4 linked regions of the Saccharomyces cerevisiae S288C genome follow. Changing the gene in region 3 together with the main gene of any one other region gives a genetic interaction. Each region holds a gene or a part of one and is shown on either strand. Other genes may lie near its edges.

The links.
Region 1: mutations in TIM18 (region 3) and RCF1 together harm fitness more than expected from each alone (negative genetic interaction), as found in Saccharomyces cerevisiae (3 studies listed by BioGRID).
Region 2: mutations in TIM18 (region 3) and CBT1 together harm fitness more than expected from each alone (negative genetic interaction), as found in Saccharomyces cerevisiae (2 studies listed by BioGRID).
Region 4: mutations in TIM18 (region 3) and DMO2 together harm fitness more than expected from each alone (negative genetic interaction), as found in Saccharomyces cerevisiae (3 studies listed by BioGRID, with this or other methods).

The regions. Positions count from the first base shown.
Region 1 is NC_001145.3:214,500-217,414, reverse strand, and holds RCF1 (respiratory supercomplex assembly factor RCF1), read right to left. Parts: upstream 981-2,915; coding exon 501-980; downstream 1-500. Other genes in the region: USA1 (Usa1p), read right to left, coding at 1-53; NDC1 (Ndc1p), read right to left, coding at 1,259-2,915. UniProt on the Saccharomyces cerevisiae protein: Assembly factor that plays a role in the assembly of the respiratory chain supercomplexes (SCs) composed of ubiquinol-cytochrome c oxidoreductase (cytochrome b-c1 complex, complex III, CIII) and cytochrome c oxidase (complex IV, CIV).
Region 2 is NC_001143.9:45,433-48,472, reverse strand, and holds CBT1 (Cbt1p), read right to left. Parts: upstream 1,317-3,040; coding exon 501-1,316; downstream 1-500. Other genes in the region: ER membrane complex subunit EMC3, read right to left, coding at 1-279; ATP-binding cassette a-factor transporter STE6, read left to right, coding at 2,178-3,040. UniProt on the Saccharomyces cerevisiae protein: Involved in 5'-end processing of mitochondrial COB, 15S rRNA, and RPM1 transcript. May also have a role in 3'-end processing of the COB pre-mRNA.
Region 3 is NC_001147.6:874,162-877,157, forward strand, and holds TIM18 (Tim18p), read right to left. Parts: upstream 1,161-2,996; coding exon 582-1,160; downstream 1-581. Other genes in the region: MUM3 (Mum3p), read left to right, coding at 1,438-2,877. UniProt on the Saccharomyces cerevisiae protein: Component of the TIM22 complex, a complex that mediates the import and insertion of multi-pass transmembrane proteins into the mitochondrial inner membrane.
Region 4 is NC_001136.10:173,657-176,190, forward strand, and holds DMO2 (Dmo2p), read right to left. Parts: upstream 933-2,534; coding exon 576-932; downstream 1-575. Other genes in the region: mitogen-activated protein kinase kinase STE7, read left to right, coding at 1-372; CMR1 (Cmr1p), read left to right, coding at 1,262-2,534.

The sequences.
Region 1 (2,915 bases), on a different chromosome or scaffold from region 3:
TCGCTTGACCATATAGTAAATTTGCAGGGCGTCTGAGCTAGATATTCAGACATGTTGCGTATTTGGTGAAGGGTGTATATGACACTTTATATAGCCGCTTAAGATGGTACAATAAAGTGTTTATCTGAAGTACGTCACCTTGCAATTGAATATTTGGTGGATTCTCTCTGTTTCAATTTTTCTGAAAATTGTACCGATCGTTAGCTGGCAATTACCGTTACGTATGTGTCAAGCAAAAAAAAACCCACATATTAAAAATCAAGTAAATAGAGCGATTGATATAGCATTTACCTATCGATATAAATATGTTTTAAGTGATAGTTATACAAGATAAAAACAAAGAATATTCATATGTACGCTGTTATTTTGTAATTATTTTTCTTGAATACTGGACATAGCATCATGAATTTTTTTATTACATTTCTTCATTACAGTCGAAATTAGCTGTTCATTCTTTTGTCTCTCATCATAATTTATTTACAGCAAATCGAAGAGCCAAATTACTTCTTTCCAAGCTTATTTTCCAGGTCGCTTAGTTCCTTTTCTAAGTTCTTGATTTCCTCTTCGTTCTCAAGGGTCTTCATTCTTGCCAATTCGGCTCTTTTTCTCCTTGCCTCCGTTTCTTCCTCCCTTCTCTCCAGCTCTTGGATCCATAACTTTTCTCTCATCTTGGCTTTCTCCTTCAATTGTTCCTCCTTCGCCTTCAGTTCCTTACCAGAAGTCCCATAGATAAATGAACCTGCGACTAGTGCGACTAGTGTGGCCGCTTGTAGACCCACACGCCAACGGAAGTAGTACTGAGCTTTCCATTTATTACCAAGACGAACATTTTGAGCAGCCAGAATGACAGCTCCTGTAGTCAGCAAGCACCCAATGGGTACCAATGGCTGTTTCTTACAATGGTATATAATCCTTTCGCCAAAGGTCATATCATCCAAATCCCTCTCCGTAACATCGAAACTAGATGGCATGCGTGACATCTTGAACGTATAACTGTGATGTTATCGCTTCTAGTACCAGGAATTGAATTAATTCCGATAGGAAGCATTGCTTCCTCTTCTCTATACTTTTCTTTACTATTATTCTTGAAGCATAAAAGGGCCCTCCTTGATTCGCTACCCGGAAACGATAAAGGTAGCTTTTTGCTCTTTTTGCTCATATTAGGCCTCTACTAAAGCATTTGTGCGGTATTCCAATTTTTATTATTGTATTTATCTTACATGAAATGGGAGGAGGGGTGCTCCTCGGTTGAATTGTATTACGTAGCATTAGGGTTGCCTGAGGCGTACACTTCTAGAAACCAGTTCGCCAACTTGGCCACGTCTGCATCCAAATATACGTCGTTCAGAGCAACATTGTATTCAAGTACAATCTCCATAAAAGCACTGGTGGACAGCTGATAAAGAACACTGATCATGTCAGTAGTGTCTTTCATGCTATCTTCGTCTTCACTGTCTTGTTGTACTCTATCTTGGGCTGTCCTTTGTGTTTGGAAGGCAGTGTATGCCATCGATTCCGGATCCCAATCGGCAAATTCACCCAGTGCACAGATGGACCTCTCCAAAGTCTTAAGAATATCCCCAACGGATGCAATGATACCGCCTTTTGGATCTTCTGTCTTTGATCGGATCAGCAGTCCTGTCAGTGCTACCACACTATTTGCGTGGCATATGGGCAATGGAACCAGCTTCTCAGCTTGCCTTTTCTTGGAAATGGACCATATGTCAATTATCGAGATTTGGGCTTTGTTGGAGCCATTTGGTAATAGTCTGTAATTGTCGCTTTCATCAGATGATTGTCTTTCTGCGTAGGAAGGGAAAATAAACGACATTATAGAATTTTTCAGTTTTTTTAACATCAGACGCATAGCGGTCATAAATGTTGTTTCGTGGGTGAAAATAGAGCCGTTAAAAGTTTGTGTCGTTTCATCTAAATCGTTGTCGTAATACGAGGACCTATGCCTTTTCTTGTTTCCGCGGTTAAGCAATACACTATCGTCAGTTCTTACCCTCAGCCTGTTTGGTGATTCATCTAATAAGCCGTTATCCCGTAATGGCGCCATCATAGAGGGTCGGTTCCCAAAGAGTCTTTCGTTGGCGCTTGTTAGTTTCCCGTTCTCATACATATAATCTAGATTTTCTACTTTTTTTTTATGTCTAGCAGTTGCAGAGCCCCCAAGATCTTGTACTGATCTTAGGTACTGCACAACCTTTTCATTGTTTATCTGAATGGTCTTCAAGCATTCATTGAGGATTAATGACCAAGTATTACCACTACTGCTTCTGAACTTGGAGTGATATATTGGTGCTCGCAATGATGGATCCAGTGAAGTGGCCCTATACGCTAGTTCCTGGTAGGCAGTCAACCTAGTAAATGGCTTGTCTGCAGAAAGCCCACTAAGCAGGGTTTCCATCGGCGTCGACGACAAATTCGAAATTAGCTTGCCCTTGTGCAGACAACCTATGGACATATGTGCGTCAAATGCTATATTTATGAATTCGAAAGTGATGAAGATAATGCAGGAGATTATTAGTAAATTTGTGACAGCTAGCACGCCATTCGTAAATGAATCAAATAATCCCGATTTTTGCCTGGAAAAAAATACTGTGGTAAAGATTGGTAATACGAACATGCTGATTACACTTAGAATGACTGACTTCTCCATAATCCTCTTGACACGCTCTAATACGTAGTCTTGTGGGGCCTGGAAAAAGTTTTCGCAGTTGAACGACAATTTGTCAGCGTCAGTGACATGATGTTGTAGGTTGTAAATCGTGGGAACGACTAGCCAAATAAACAGCTTATAGTATGGCTTCCATCCAGATCCGCCACGTCCGAAAACCACACCCAGTACGAATGATAAAAGGATGCTGCCCATGCTATAGACTCCCTGGTATACAAGAAACTTTACTGAT
Region 2 (3,040 bases), on a different chromosome or scaffold from region 3:
CTGCTTGGCCTTGGCTAGGTGCCTTTCCTCAGTGAGATCCTTAACTAGAAATTCCTTCTTCGCAGCAAATGCATCGGAAGACAGGTTCCCACCGTTTCCAATCAATAATTGTGCCCATTGTAGATATTGCCATTCAGTTAACTTTACCCTTGGTTGTGCTTCATTTGCACTGCTTCCCGTTATAAGTGTCATGATGTACTGTTTGAGTACACCCGTCAAAACCATGACAATCGAAATAGGTAACAGGACCCAATACTTCAGCTGGTCATCTAATAACATCTGCGGCGCCCTAGCTTGTTGAATACTGCTTGTTGTTTTGTCTATTCTGTTGAAGAGAAGTTGTTGTAAATGCTGGTTAATCGTCATTCTTTAACATCACAATGCTTTATTATACCTCTTCGTTCTTAGTGAGATGGCGGAAGCCAGTGCTATAGTCACCAAATAATACGCATTATATATGGATATGTACAGTTCGCAGATCTTTATGGCATATTTATCGTTTACAACCGTCTTCTGGTGAATATGAGCCAGTTGTGACCCCCATGATCCGTGACGGAAGGTGAGGTAATTCGGTTCGTCGCCAATTGACTCAGTAAAAGCTTAACTTGCGACTTGATACGCGTGCTCTGATCCAACGGTTCATCCTTCTTGTTATTTCGTGCTATTTTTAACAGCTTCCAGTAGTTTAAATTGCGGTACATTCTCGAGGATTCTTCCAATAAAGGCTGGATATAAGAGACTGCTTCGCTCATTTCAGTGTCTTGATCACCACCGTTGCTTATCAGGGAACGTTTGCAGCCGAAATTTATATTTATACCAATGGTATGCAATTTCAATCTTACTGGAACGTTTGGCATGCTGTTGAATAAGATCAGTTGCGAGAGAGATGGGATGTCCTGAACTGTCTGAAACATGCACCTGTATTCATGTTCTGACTCGCTCGGATCAGTCAGGAAATCAAGTCCCAAACAGTGACCCAACGCTGAGTTTGTCAACTTCCTCTTCATAAAGACTGTCGGTAGTTTGTCGTTTATTGCTCCTTTAGATATGCCCTCTGTTATGAATTCCTTCCATAAAGAGGGGAGATTGTAGGAAGAATCGACAAGACTACCAGCGCCACTGTTTTCCCAGTCGTAAAGCACGAAGGTGTTGTATTCATTCAAGTATTCTTGATATTTGCTTTCACGTAGTTTGTAATTTATCTTCCGCTTTAGGGCAAAACGTTGTTTGCTGGATACATTTCCATACCTAAGCACAAACTTCGGCGTTTTAAGAACTTTCGAAACCTCACTACTATGACTTCCATAGCTCACCATTTTTTCCTTGCAATATTTCTCTCTCCTTTGTTTAATGCTTCTTTACCCAAAAGCGCAGTAAACTTCTGATCAATCAATAAGACGAAACTTGAGAAAACGAAAAATCGAAGAAATATTATATATAGATAGTTGTGGCTGAATAATATATATCTGTTCAAACGTTTTAACGCGCGATAGAAAAAAGATCTCGCTGCTAACTTTTTGAATAACCATTACTACTTTTCCAAGCTATAGGCAAATGGCACCTGCTTCATTTTTAAGGTCATTTTTGCTAAATGTATCATCTTCAAAATAGATAAATCTGTAAAGTATAGCGGAGCCACAAATTTAGCAGGTATAAAAATTACTCAGCCCTTTTGGCCAAGTGGTAAGGCATCGCACTCGTAATGCGGGGATCGTGGGTTCAATTCCCACAGAGGGCATTTGAAATTTTATTTTCTATTTTTTAATTTTTATATATAATATATATAACGCGACATAGCTGTTATTACCTACTAGTAATATCCTCTCTTTTTTCAAACAATGATGGTCCTTGCACTGACAAATATGTTCCTTTCCTTTTTCTTTTCTCTATTCTGCCACTATACAATTTATTGTTTTCCACAAAGGGTAAAGGTACTTTAAGAAAATAGTTTCTTATTTTTTTTGCCATGTAATTACCTAATAGGGAAATTTACACGCTGCTTCGCACATATACAATTGTTTCAGATATGAAAACTGTTGCATTATTGCCGTTCATCATTTAAATACCAGAGCTTATAAACCTGGATATGGCTGAACTATCTCCCGTTGTTACGTTCACACAGAGAGCTTTCAAGTGCCGCTGAAAATTCCACTAGGAAACAAAGAACAAGCTACGTCATGAACTTTTTAAGTTTTAAGACTACAAAACACTATCACATTTTCAGGTACGTGAACATACGGAATGACTACAGGCTGTTAATGATAATGATAATAGGTACCGTGGCAACAGGCCTAGTGCCGGCAATTACTTCTATCCTGACGGGCAGAGTGTTCGATCTACTATCAGTTTTCGTGGCTAATGGGTCACATCAAGGTTTGTATTCCCAACTAGTACAGAGGTCAATGGCAGTAATGGCACTTGGTGCGGCTTCTGTGCCAGTAATGTGGCTTTCTCTAACAAGTTGGATGCACATCGGCGAGAGACAAGGCTTTAGAATACGGTCACAGATATTGGAGGCATATTTGGAGGAAAAGCCAATGGAATGGTACGACAATAATGAAAAATTGTTAGGAGATTTTACTCAAATCAACAGATGTGTGGAAGAGCTAAGATCAAGCTCCGCAGAGGCATCAGCCATAACTTTCCAGAATTTAGTTGCAATATGTGCGCTTCTGGGGACGTCATTCTACTATTCTTGGTCATTAACTTTAATTATTCTTTGCAGCTCTCCAATAATCACATTTTTTGCAGTGGTGTTTTCCAGAATGATTCATGTATATTCAGAGAAGGAGAATTCTGAAACGAGTAAAGCAGCCCAATTACTTACATGGTCGATGAATGCCGCTCAATTAGTGAGATTATATTGTACACAACGTCTAGAAAGGAAAAAATTCAAGGAAATCATACTAAATTGTAACACTTTCTTCATCAAGAGTTGCTTTTTTGTTGCTGCAAACGCTGGGATCTTGAGATTTTTGACGTTGACTATGTTTGTACAGGGATTCTGGTTTGGTTCCGCAATGATCAAAAAGGGCAAGCT
Region 3 (2,996 bases):
GTTTATTATAAGAATCATAGTTTTATGGACAAGTTTTCCGTTTAGCATTTATACCCATATAGTAAAAAGTTTCGCAGATAGTGCGATAGTTGTATTCTGATTGCCTTATTATTATTTCACTAATTCTTTATTCACGTAGAGCATGACACTTTTTTTATGTGTTTCCTTTTGATTGTGAAATAAAGGCGAATCCTAACAAATATTAAAATGTTTCAATACATTGATAAAAATTGTAAACATTATTTTTTTGTAGTATAAAAATTCGTTCCTCATCATTAAAGAAACAAAAAGCATACAGATAATAATAAAAAAGGCACTTTAGACAGAATGAGAATACTAGCAATCACGAATTCCTACTTTTCCTTTCTGTATCCCTAGGCGTTTCACTCGACAAGAATTGATCGTCTTGTACCAATCCAAGCAGATCGATATATACATATATATCTGGATTTCGAGAAGAAGGATATATTTTATTGCTTATTTGTCTTTTTATAAAATCTCTCCTAAGTTAAGTTCATGGGGAATCTGACTCTAAAAATGAAATCTTAGAAATGCAAAAAAAAAGAAAAAGTATGGGTGAGTCAGTTTCTTCCAAATATATACAAATGGTCATCATTTTCATTCCAAAGTTTCTTTACCAGGTCAACAAAACCATTATTTTTCGTTTCCAATTCGTAGATACCGTACAGGGACAACATGGATCCTCCATAGAGGCAATAAAGGGCGAGCTTATGCCATCTTGGATACTTTTCCTTCGGTATATAGTCAATAATACAACTTGTGAAGCCATACTGTAAATATATCAAAAAAATGGACGATAAAGACGCATCGAGTAAAGGATTTATAACCCCGCCGGTAAAGGAGGCATAAAAAGGTACCATTGTTAATGGAATCAAAGTATATTTTGCTATTCTCTCATAGTCTTTTTGATAAGAGTCCTTAAATTGAGAGAACTCTGGGGGCTTAAACATCTGCACTGAAGAGGATGCCTCTTTTGACGTATTTGCAATATCGTTTATTTTATTTTCAGCATTTAAACGATTAATGCTATAAAAGGATCTTTTGGTTGAAAGTACTAATCCTGGAAAAACAGCTCGTACAGGATTTACAATGACAGTGGAAGCATTAAGAACAGGCTTCAAGCCAGGAAACAATAGCATTACCAAAGGTATTAAATTACTCAGTTGTTGCACCTCGCATCACCGTTAATTAATGTGTGCATTCCACTGTCTGGAAGTTTTCATTTTTATCCGATCTTTTGCGAGAATGGTTTGTTTTTCAAAAAAACCGAGTGTCAACAAGGCATGTAGCGACACAAAATGAAAAATTGAAAGTTAACAGGGCAAGATATGCACCATAATAGATTCATTGTTAATCTTAATCAAATAAAATTTCTCTTTTCCACACAGAAAACTAAACGAAAGGTATAACTTTAAGATGGGTTTTGTTGATTTCTTCGAAACATATATGGTCGGTTCTAGGGTCCAGTTCAAACAGTTAGATATTTCTGATTGGTTGAGTCTGACCCCAAGGTTGCTTATTCTTTTTGGCTATTTTTACCTTCATTCTTTTTTTACTGCAATCAATCAATTCCTACAGTTCATTAACACGAATTCCTTCTGTCTTAGACTGCATTTACTATATGACAGATTTTGGTCGCATGTGCCCATAATAGGTGAGTACAAAATTCGGCTGCTCTCGAGGGCACTGACATATAGTAAACTGAAAATAATACCAACTTTAGACAAGGTGCTGGAGGCGATTGAAATTTGGTTTCAGCTACATTTAGTTGAAATGACCTTCGAAAAAAAAAAAAACGTCCAAATTTTCATAACCGAGGGAAGTGATGACCTAAACTTTTTTAAAGATAGCAAATTCCAAACCACATTAATGATATGTAATCATCGATCAGTGAATGACTACACATTGATTAATTACCTTTTTCTCAAAAGTTGTCCCACCAAGTTTTATACTAAATGGGAATTTCTACAAAAGCTGAGGAAGGGGGAAGATCTAGCTGAATGGCCTCAGTTAAAATTTCTTGGTTGGGGAAAAATGTTTAACTTTCCTCGATTGGATCTACTAAAGAACATATTCTTCAAAGATGAAACACTCGCACTCTCATCGAATGAGTTAAGAGATATTTTAGAAAGACAAAACAATCAAGCTATTACTATTTTTCCCGAAGTCAATATCATGAGTTTGGAACTATCAATTATTCAAAGAAAATTACACCAAGATTTTCCCTTTGTTATAAACTTCTATAATTTATTATACCCAAGATTTAAAAACTTTACCACTTTGATGGCTGCTTTTTCATCAATTAAAAACATCAAAAGAAAGAAAAACCGTAACAATATAATCAAAGAGGCCCGATACCTGTTTCACAGAGAACTTGACAAATTAGTTCACAAGAGCATGAAAATGGAGTCTTCCAAGGTATCCGATAAGACGACGCCGCCCATGATCGTAGATAATTCATACTTACTTACAAAAAAGGAAGAAATCAGCAGCGGCAAGCCCAAGGTGGTACGAATCAATCCATACATATATGATGTCACCATAATTTATTACCGAGTCAAATATACTGATAGTGGGCATGATCATACCAACGGAGATTTGAGACTTCATAAAGGTTATCAATTAGAGCAAATATCTCCGACAATCTTTGAGATGATTCAACCAGAAATGGAGTCTGAAAACAACATAAAGGATAAGGACCCCATTGTTGTGATGGTAAATGTAAAAAAGCATCAAATTCAACCATTACTCGCATACAATGATGAGAGTTTAGAAAAGTGGCTTGAAAATAGGTGGATAGAAAAAGATAGATTAATCGAGTCCTTGCAAAAAAATATTAAAATTGAGACCAAATAAAGATCCTGAATCATAATATATACGTGTGTACTTCACTTTCTATAGAGGAAAAAAAGCTAAAAAAAAAAAAAAATGATAAAATAAACGAAAAAAACCATAAAACGATCATGATAGAATAA
Region 4 (2,534 bases), on a different chromosome or scaffold from region 3:
ATGATCATCGAGCTGGTAACTGGAGAGTTTCCCCTAGGTGGGCATAACGATACACCTGATGGCATATTGGATTTGCTGCAACGTATTGTCAACGAGCCTTCACCAAGATTACCCAAAGACCGTATCTATTCCAAGGAAATGACAGATTTTGTCAATAGGTGTTGTATTAAGAATGAAAGGGAAAGGTCATCGATTCATGAATTGCTACATCATGATCTTATAATGAAATACGTATCACCGTCTAAAGATGATAAATTTAGACATTGGTGTAGAAAAATAAAATCTAAAATAAAGGAAGACAAGAGAATTAAAAGAGAAGCCTTGGACCGTGCCAAGTTAGAAAAGAAACAATCGGAAAGATCAACCCATTGAATGCATGCGATAACATTAGTTAGGAACATATTGCACTTTTTTTCACATCCCTTTCTCAAAGCTATATTCATATATATATAGACTCTCCTGATTATGTAAATCACAAACCAATTTTCTAATGTAACAATATTTTTAAAAATAATCATCAAAGTAGCACTTTATGTACAGAAAATTTCACGATTGAGAGAAGCTTGCGAATAATACTAGTTAGCCTGTGTTTCACCATCGTTACTTAATTTCTTATAGTTCTTATATTCTTTATTTTTATGCCACAACCAACCTTCGGTTCCTCTAACGAAACCGAAGGCGATTAATAACCCACCGAAGCTACGTAAAGTTACTTTCCACCATTGTGGGTTTCTTTTTTCAAATTCAGTCAGAGAAATGCCTCTTTTGGCTTCTTTTTTACCATACTTGAATGGTTTCCCAGATGCCAAGTATGAGCCAAATCCAACAGAAAACATAGTGCTCATGACTTGACAAGGAACGCAATCCATAGTCTCTTCTTTTTCCAGCTCCCTTTGTGGTGGAGGGTTGAACACTGCCAAAATATTACTCATTGTTTTTCACCACTTGCTGTTTCTCTCTAAGCGGTGTTTTGTTTCCTACTTGGTGGCACACAATGACTGTACTCGCTTTATATGCTCGTACCTTTTTTCAAAAGCCCATCGTTAATTTTTCACCCGAGGACCCCATATTACGCGTTTTTTGTTAATGTTCAATTTCTGACATGTTACAATTATAATAACGCCAAAAGAGGTAAATGTATATTTGAACAATTGTTAAAGAGAAGATAAAAACCCTTTAATCTTGCATTTGTCGTCAATAGTACACAATAGGCGATCTATTTTAGTACGGCAATTAAAAGAAAGCTGCTTTTCAGTCAAGAATGCCGGAATTAACAGAATTTCAGAAAAAACGTTTAGAGAACATCAAAAGGAATAACGATTTATTGAAAAAACTCCATTTGTCTGGAGTAGCATCTCAAATTAAGCACGAGGCTGGGGTGTTGGAAAAATCTAGAGCTCCTGCAAAAAAGAAACAAAAAACAACTAATACCAGAGCAACCAAGTCTGCGAGTCCCACTTTACCTACACGAAGATCAAGAAGGCTAAGGGGTGAGTCTGCAGACGATGTGAAAGGAATACCCAATGTGAACGATAATCAGTTGCTTAAAATGGGTTCTCCAGATGGCCAGGATAAGAATTTTATAGACGCAATAAAGGAGAAACCTGTAATAGGAGATGTGAAATTAAGTGATCTGATCAAGGATGAAGACGAAAGTGCCCTTTTAGAGAAATTCAAGAGGTTTAATAACGGAAACTTTTCTTCTGGTGATTTCTTTGAAGAAATAAAAAAGAGACAGGGTGACGTTACGGGGATGGACGAATTTGATTTGGATCTATATGACGTTTTTCAACCGAACGAAATTAAGATTACATACGAAAGAATCTCTGCCACTTACTTCCATCCTGCTATGGAAAAAAAGCTAATAATTGCAGGTGATACAAGCGGTACTGTGGGTTTTTGGAACGTTAGAGATGAACCACTAGCTGACAGCGAAGAGGACCGAATGGAAGAACCCGATATCACCAGAGTGAAACTATTTACCAAAAACGTCGGCCGTATTGATTGCTTCCCTGCGGACACATCGAAGATATTGCTCACCTCTTACGACGGAAGCATCAGGTCAGTTCACTTGAATAACTTACAGAGTGAAGAGGTTCTCACCTTGAAAAATGAATATGACGATTCACTGGGTATCAGCGATTGCCAGTTTAGCTACGAAAACCCAAATGTTTTATTCCTCACCACATTAGGTGGTGAATTCACCACGTTTGACACAAGAGTAAAAAAATCAGAGTATAATCTGCGAAGACTCGCAGACAAGAAGATCGGGTCTATGGCAATAAATCCCATGAGACCCTACGAGATTGCCACCGGATCACTTGATAGAACACTCAAAATCTGGGATACAAGAAACCTTGTTAAAAAGCCAGAGTGGTCACAATATGAAGACTATCCCAGTCATGAAATTGTCTCCACATATGACTCAAGATTGAGCGTCTCTGCAGTTTCTTACTCACCGACAGATGGCACCTTAGTGTGCAATGGCTATGACGATACCATCCGCTTATTCGATGTCAAGAGTAGGGATCACC